Linked DNA regions of Saccharomyces cerevisiae S288C. The protein of the gene in region 2 purifies or fractionates together with the protein of the main gene of each other region. This does not show direct contact. Each region holds a gene or a part of one and is shown on either strand. Other genes may lie near its edges. The genes, in order: RPI1 and PHO5.

The links.
Region 1: the proteins of PHO5 (region 2) and RPI1 purify together in Saccharomyces cerevisiae (affinity purification with mass spectrometry, with the first as the bait; one large-scale study listed by BioGRID). This does not show direct contact.

Annotation. Positions count from the first base shown.
Region 1 is NC_001141.2:135,942-139,817, reverse strand, and holds RPI1 (Rpi1p), read left to right. Parts: upstream 1-1,940; coding exon 1,941-3,164; downstream 3,165-3,876. Other genes in the region: Rho family GTPase RHO3, read right to left, coding at 1-66; QDR1 (multidrug transporter), read right to left, coding at 3,710-3,876. UniProt on the Saccharomyces cerevisiae protein: Negative regulator of the Ras-cyclic AMP pathway. Negatively regulate the activity of normal but not mutationally activated Ras proteins. The down-regulatory effect of RPI1 requires the presence of one of the two Ras GTPase activators, IRA1 and IRA2.
Region 2 is NC_001134.8:428,716-432,477, forward strand, and holds PHO5 (acid phosphatase PHO5), read right to left. Parts: upstream 2,237-3,762; coding exon 833-2,236; downstream 1-832. Other genes in the region: acid phosphatase PHO3, read right to left, coding at 1-386; PBY1 (putative tubulin tyrosine ligase), read left to right, coding at 3,321-3,762. UniProt on the Saccharomyces cerevisiae protein: Partially mediates extracellular nucleotide derived phosphate hydrolysis along with NPP1 and NPP2.

The DNA.
Region 1 (3,876 bases), on a different chromosome or scaffold from region 2:
CAAAATAACGATCTTTCTTTCGATCGGTTTATTTGACGTTGAAGCTGACCCACATAGAAATGACATGTTTGTTTCCCTTTACCTTGTGCTACTATGGATTTTAATGAAAAACTTGTTGTTATAAAGTAAAAAATGCTGACCAGAGCTAGAGATGAGAACGATAAAAAAACGAAAATCAATGGTTGCCTATTTTCCAGTAAATTCAAAATAATACATGTTTTTTCTTTCTTTTTCTTTTCTTTTTACTGTTTACCAATTTTCAGGAATGTTAAGAAAGATAAAAGAAATATACAAGATGCCATTAACGGGTAATGGCACCAGTATATCTATGACGGGTAATCCTGTTAGTGGATGTCAAAAAACGTTCTTGGGGTTTCCCGGACGCCTTACACTATTTTGTAAAAAAGCTCATCCACACCCCTCTCCTTGTATTTCTTATCTATAATCTACTATTTCTCGCGTAGGTGCGGTAACGCTGTTCCAAGAAAAAAGTTGGCCGACGACTGGTTCTGGGCCGGGCTCGACCGGAAGTGGTAAGTGGCCTCAATTTGAGTTTCGCTTACTCCTTCCATTCTTACAACACACCCGAAGTTTAATTCACGTGACCAGATAAGGGATTTATTATATGTTTATTGTAAAAAAAATAAGGTAGATAGACATATTACATTTCCTCGTGCTTATCGAAGTATTTTTCTTAGACATCTCGCATGACCACAATGCTGGCTCGAAGGCATTTACTCTTTCCTTGGGGAGATGTGCTTACTGTGATTGATTATGTATTCTTGCGTGCATCTGCAAATCTGCGTTGACTAATTTCGGAGTCTTTTAAACACAGAAGCATTACAGGCCCCTCTCCTCACTTGTGCCCAGTATGCAAGTGTGCTTTCCTGTGAAAACTCCTTCATTTTCTTTTCTTACGCATATGCATAGTCGGATTCCAGCTATTTCCATAGTAAAGAAGAAGAAAAAGTAAATACTTCCTTTTCACATGGGCCGGCCGATGCAGGTCCTCAGGTACTTCGTTTATAAGCTTATATAAGCATGCAAAATTAAACGAGGTGGCTGCTTTAAGAGCGTGCAGAATATAGTCACTTACTACCCTAAGTTAGGACTTTGTCTTAGGAACAAACACATCAAAAATGTGCAGAACAACAAGCCCGCGGGGGTTTTTGCGGTTGACTACTCCTGCTTCATGTCTTTTCTCCCCTGCCATTTGTGCTTCTGGATTTGCTTGAAGGTAACCTTAAAGGATCTGCGCATCTTTCTCTTACGAAAACAAGTATAAGATTTTGCCTGGGCAAACTTAAATTACGGAAAAAGGAGTCGTCGAGAATGTTGCCCTTCCACATTTGGATTAGCTGATAAACGTAAATTGGGGGGGGGGGGGGTCGGTTAAATTTTGTCGACGGGAATGGAATTTTCTCTGGTATTTGCCGCAGCTTGCAGATAGTAGAGCCGATCTTGTGAGGTTAACACCGCATATGGCATTCTGTTGCAAAGTTAAAATGCGTCACCCACCCTAGCGCCTAGGGTCGAGTACTGTTTTAAACTTTTTCAAGACCGGGCGTACCATTGTGCTTGTTCCTTACTTCGTTATTTTCTTGCATATTATATTGGTTGAGATTATTTCTATGGACTATATATAAATAAGGGACGGTCGTATTGTTCTTTTATGTCTGCATCCTAAAGAGTATTTTTTTTTATAGTCTTGTTTTCTTGTTCAAATTAAAGAAAGATCTAATAGTTTTCGTAATACTGAAACTACTCTTTTTTTTTCCTTACAATCTGACTTTTTTTGTATTTCCTTTTTTTCCGTTTGGTTATCCAGACTACAGTTCATGGTAGTATATCATATTATCGTATTCGTTTAACTATTTCTCAGTCCTTTTTTTTAAGTCTTTTTTTTTTTTTCTCATCATTTTATTACTGATATTTATAAAATGTACTTGGAATATCTTCAACCGAAGTTGAACCTAATGGATGAGTCTAGCACTATAAGCAAAAATTTCCCTGATTATTCACCAAATTTAAACACACCCATTACTTCAAATTTTAATGAAGAAACGGGTTCGGACTGCTCTTTAGTTACTCCAAGAATAATTTCCAGTTCAAATTCGAATTCGAACTCCAATTCTAATTCGAACTCCAACTCCAACTCAGGCTCTATTGACGAAAATGAGCTAAACAACTCTAATTCATCCTCCTCGTCTGCAAGACAGATAAGGAAAAAATGGAAAGAGCCTGAGGATATAGCATTCATTACTACAATAATGAATAATTCTCAATTACTAACATTCGTAGAATATTTCAAGCCTATGAAGAATTTTTGGAAAAAAATTTCAAAAATCCTATTCCAACAATATGGGTACGAGAGAAACTCTCGTCAATGTCATGATAGATTTAAAGTCTTATACACAAAGTCTTTGAAAGTGCATCCATCAAAGAAATCCAAGCAAAAGAAAAAAAAATCAAAACAAGAGGCAGGCTCAAACTTAAATTTTGATCCGTCAAAATTATCTAGAATGCAGTATTTGCTAGTGCAGTTACAAAACACTTTTAGTTTTGTAAACGGAAACATTATACTCAAGTCGCAAAAAACATTGAAGCCGAACAAGAATGGTACTAATGATAATATTAATAACCATTATTATAATAATTGTAACAATAACAATAATAATATTAACAATAGTAACAATAGCAACAATAATAATAGCAATAATATTAATAGGAATAGTAATCATAGTACTAATGTTTTTAGTACACCAGAGCATATTCAGTCAAGTATCAACCTCGATAAATTAGAATCTTTGCCAGCTTTGGATACCAAAGGAGAACCATCCTTCATTAGCCCGGCTCAATTTTCCCTTTTGTCATCAGCACCGGCAGACAATCTAATCCTGCAAACTCCACCATCGCCATTTTTCCAGCAAACAATGCCTATACAGCTACCGCGCGATGCACAACAAGAACAAATTTCCCCAGTTTTCTCTACAGATGTCATATACATGTGGCAAACAATGTTTAACACTATTGAAAATTTAAAGGAACAAGTAAACTGCTTAAAAAATGAAGTTAAGCAATTAAACCATAAATTTTACCAACAAAATAAACCGTTGCATAATATGTCAACTTCAGACTCAGAAAATTTTATGCAACAACATTAAAGTATGTATCGGGAAGTCTCCACCATAAATTTTCTACCCCTTTAATTCTAGCACATTCCCTGTTTCCCTTCACCCTCATCAATAATTTTCAATTCGTCGTTTCACCTTTTAATTAATTTTAAATGCTCATTTCATTTCTGTTTTAAATTTTATGTCTGTTTTGTATGCTATTTCATTTTTCATTTACTTCTCCAGGGAAACAAGACAATATTACTTATATATACATTTATATTTATGCCCATTCAACATCCGATTTTTTTCTATAAAATAAGTGAAAAAAATAATGAAACTTAACGAATCTGTCACCAAGAAATGTCCTTATTGTTCATTTTGGATTTTCTCAAGTTTTATCTTTGGTTGAAGCAGTTTATGTTTTGTTTACTTGGACAGCCAAAAAGAGAAAAAGAAGGTGAAAATTTTTTATGTGATCTCTTCAAAGAAATTTTAGATACTTTAAATGATGCCGTACGTCTTTGTTATAAAATATAGATATCTGTTTCTGGAAAGTGGGGGCAGAGACTTTTTAGTTTTACGACTTTTTTTCTTCACGTCGAAACTTTTTCTGAATTTTTACCAACTGACCTTCCAGCCGACTTATCATTTGCCCTAATCCTATCGAACGATAGTTGTTTCCCATTCTTCAGGAGATAGAATAATAAAAGCGATGAAGATGAAGTTATAGCACTCAAAAACGTAAAAACACCTCCATATC
Region 2 (3,762 bases):
AAAGTGGTTTCCATTTCCAAATCATCGTCATCACGGATGAAAAACTCGTAATCATCGTTCAAGAATGACAATGAGCCGTTGAATTGACGTGTGTAATTGCTCAACTTATACCATGTTTTCATGATGGTAGCACCTTTACTGTAAGTTGGGTATCTTTCACCATGTCTGGCAAGCATTTGCAATTGTTTCATTTCACAACCTTCAGGCAAGTCACGAGAAATACCATAGTCGCCAGGGAAAGAGAAGTATGGCCCGGCACCACCCAGGAATGGGAATATGTCTTCCTGAGTGCCAATTTTGGCAACATCGGCTAACTCTCCGAGGGGAATTGTACCTGCATTAACTAAAGCAGCGGCTAGAACCGAATAAACAACAGACTTAAACATAGGTAATTTGGAATGGCCCTTTCTTTACTGTAGTATTTTTTTTATGATAATCAAGGCATAATTGACTTCCATCCAGCAAATTTAAGCACTTATATATGTTGCATAGGACTACTCAAAGCTGTTTACTATTTCCCAAACTGGTATTATTTAGTAAATTTCTTTTGAATTTTTTTTTTTTCACTCTTCCTTTTTTTCATTTTTGCGATGCCAGTTCTTTGAGTTTCCCTTATACGGCATATGCACTTAAGGTTTGATTTTGCTAATTAAAGGCGTGCCTAAGCGGCGACTAATACTGTAATATAATATGGGTTCCTGACTGACTACAGGGATTGAAACATCCATTTACCTGTTTCGGATATCTCTGCAGATTTTAATCTTTCGGCAAAATTTAGATAAAAAATTTGGGTATTCGTATTTAGTTTCCAATATTATTTAGTTATACAAAACTATTGTCTCAATAGACTGGCGTTGTAATGAGTAGTGTTCCAGTCCCAGTAGAAGGTCAATTCAGTAGAGTTACTGACGCTGCTGACGTTACAGACCTTTAGGAAGTCAGTACCGGCTACTCTCTTTTCAGCATAGTCGTAGAAGTCATTGATTTCACAAGAGAACCCTGGACCAGTGGAACAGGTTTCAATTGGAACAACAGCATCGTTAATGACGTATCTGACGTAGGTGTCGTTAGAACATTGGAATTTTTCGGTGTAGACACGAGCACCTTGAGGAACGTACCAGGATCTGTGGAAAGTGTTGCCCATGAATGGAACGTATTCGGCAGTTAAGTTGTTTTTGTCGTCAATTATACCAGCGGTGGTCAAAAAGTTTAGGATATCGGTATCGTGGGTAAAACTCAACCAAACCTTTTGGTCTTGAATCTCACTTTGCTTTAATAATTTGACTGAGGCATTGAACAAGTTGGAACCGACAGACTTGATAATGTCGTAACCTGGACCCTCATGGTAATAAGTGTGCAAGTCTTGGTAGTAGGAGTAATGGACTAATTCATCCTTGGTGAAAATATCACAGACATCACTGTAACCTTTAGCGTTCACTTCAAATGCACACCACGAGAATAAAGTACTAGCGTCAGTTGAGGTCAAGTTCAAACCCTTGTTTTCCTTGTTCAATCTCTTGGCAATGTCATCCAAGTAGGTTGTGTCGTATTCATTTACAATGTCATCATTGGCATCGTAGTCCCAAGCAGGACATGAGTTACAAGCACTCAAAGTGTTGGCACCAGCGGATTCAGCTTCACTGACAGTCTGCAAGGTGATGTTGAATTGGTCACCTAAACCATCAATGAAATATTGAGCAGTGTCATGACATCTCTTAGAATTAGAGGTAAAAACGGCGAAACTGGTTTGGTTTTCGACCATGTAACCGTATTGAGCCAAGAAGTCACGAGCATGTCTCTTGGCGTTCATTTCACCAGTGTATGGGTTCAAAACATCGTCCGAGTTGGCAAAAGTGGTTTCCATTTCCAAATCATCGTCATCACGGATGAAAAACTCGTAATCATCGTTCAAGAATGACAATGAGCCGTTGAATTGACGAGTGTAATTGCTCAACTTATACCATGTACTCTTGATAGTCTTAGCCAGACTGACAGTAGGGTATCTTTCACCATGTCTACCAACCATTTGCAGTTGCTTCATTTCACAACCTTCAGGCAAATCACGAGAAATACCATAGTCGCCAGGGAAAGAGTAGTATGGTCCGGCACCACCCAAAAATGGGAAGATATCTTTTTGGGTACCAATCTTGTCGACATCGGCTAGTTTGCCTAAGGGAATGGTACCTGCATTGGCCAAAGAAGCGGCTAAAATTGAATAAACAACAGATTTAAACATTGGTAATCTCGAATTTGCTTGCTCTATTTGTTGTTGTTCTTATTCTCATGAGAGATGAAGCCATACTAACCTCGACTTAGCAAAACATCAGCGCTTATATACGTTTCATTTCGACAATTCAAAGATGTTTACCCTTATCCCAAATGGGTATATGCCTTGCCAAGTAAGGTGACCAATTTGATAATTTGGCATGTGCGATCTCTTCGAAAACAGGGACCAGAATCATAAATTTAGTCTGTGCTAGTCCCACGTGTGAGTGCCAAGGTTGTATCGATTCATTTAGAGATTGCCTATTCAATTAACTCTTTTAATCACTTTTACTTTTTTTGGCATTGTGCAGTTGCGTTCTATGCGAAAACGTGCTAATTTAATATATATTTCTTTGTGCAGACAAAGAAAAAGCGCTATGAACCTTTTACCTTCGTTTGAAGTTTATAGACGACGTCCGCTTACATGAGAAAACATTAAAGCAGCGCACATAAGATGACTTCCAAATACGTTGACATATTTGCGCATTCTTGTTGAATACAACTTTCGGATCCTTGTAATGCCGGTCTCCGGCGTCCTGTAAAGAGAGCGTGCGACACGCCGCTATTAGCGTGGGGACTGACATCAGGTCAACATTATTATTGTAGCGAGCTACTTTCGGTCAGTAAATAGAACATATGTAGAGATACAAGCGATTATTAGAAGGAGCGGACCTACAACAAAGTTGGGTCACGTTTCTCGCAATTATTACTTGGATGCCCTCCTAGCTAATGCCAATGTGCAGTAGTAACTTATCAGTCCGATGTGTAAAAAATAGAACTAATTTTTTGCGAAAAGATGGACAAAAACCATCTCTGGTCAATTTTCTCACTAAAGAGGGACGGAGTCTCTTGTTTTCTTCTATTAGTGCACAGGGAATGTTTTGATTTTCCCTTTTTTTTTCTTTCGCTTCTTCAACAGTGGTAAAAATAAAAATTATTGGCGATGGGATAACCAAGGAACATTGTATTTAGCAATTGAAAATTACGGTAAAGGCAGCCGCTCTGACTTGATCTCTGACATTAAAAATTCGGAAACAATAAATATTTCTTTTAAGATGCGGGTTTTAATAACTAACGATGATGGTCCCTTAAGTGATCAGTTTTCACCATACATTAGACCTTTTATTCAGCACATTAAAAGAAATTATCCTGAATGGAAAATCACGGTTTGTGTACCTCATGTCCAGAAATCATGGGTGGGTAAGGCTCATCTTGCTGGTAAAAATTTGACAGCTCAATTCATATATTCTAAAGTTGACGCTGAAGACAATACTTTTTGGGGCCCATTTATCCAGCCACAAATTAGGTCAGAAAACTCTAAATTACCTTATGTTCTCAATGCTGAAATTCCGAAAGATACAATTGAGTGGATATTAATCGATGGAACTCCAGCATCGTGCGCAAACATCGGGCTGCACCTATTGTCTAATGAACCGTTTGATCTAGTACTGTCGGGTCCAAATGTTGGTAGAAATACATCTGCTGCTTATATTACCT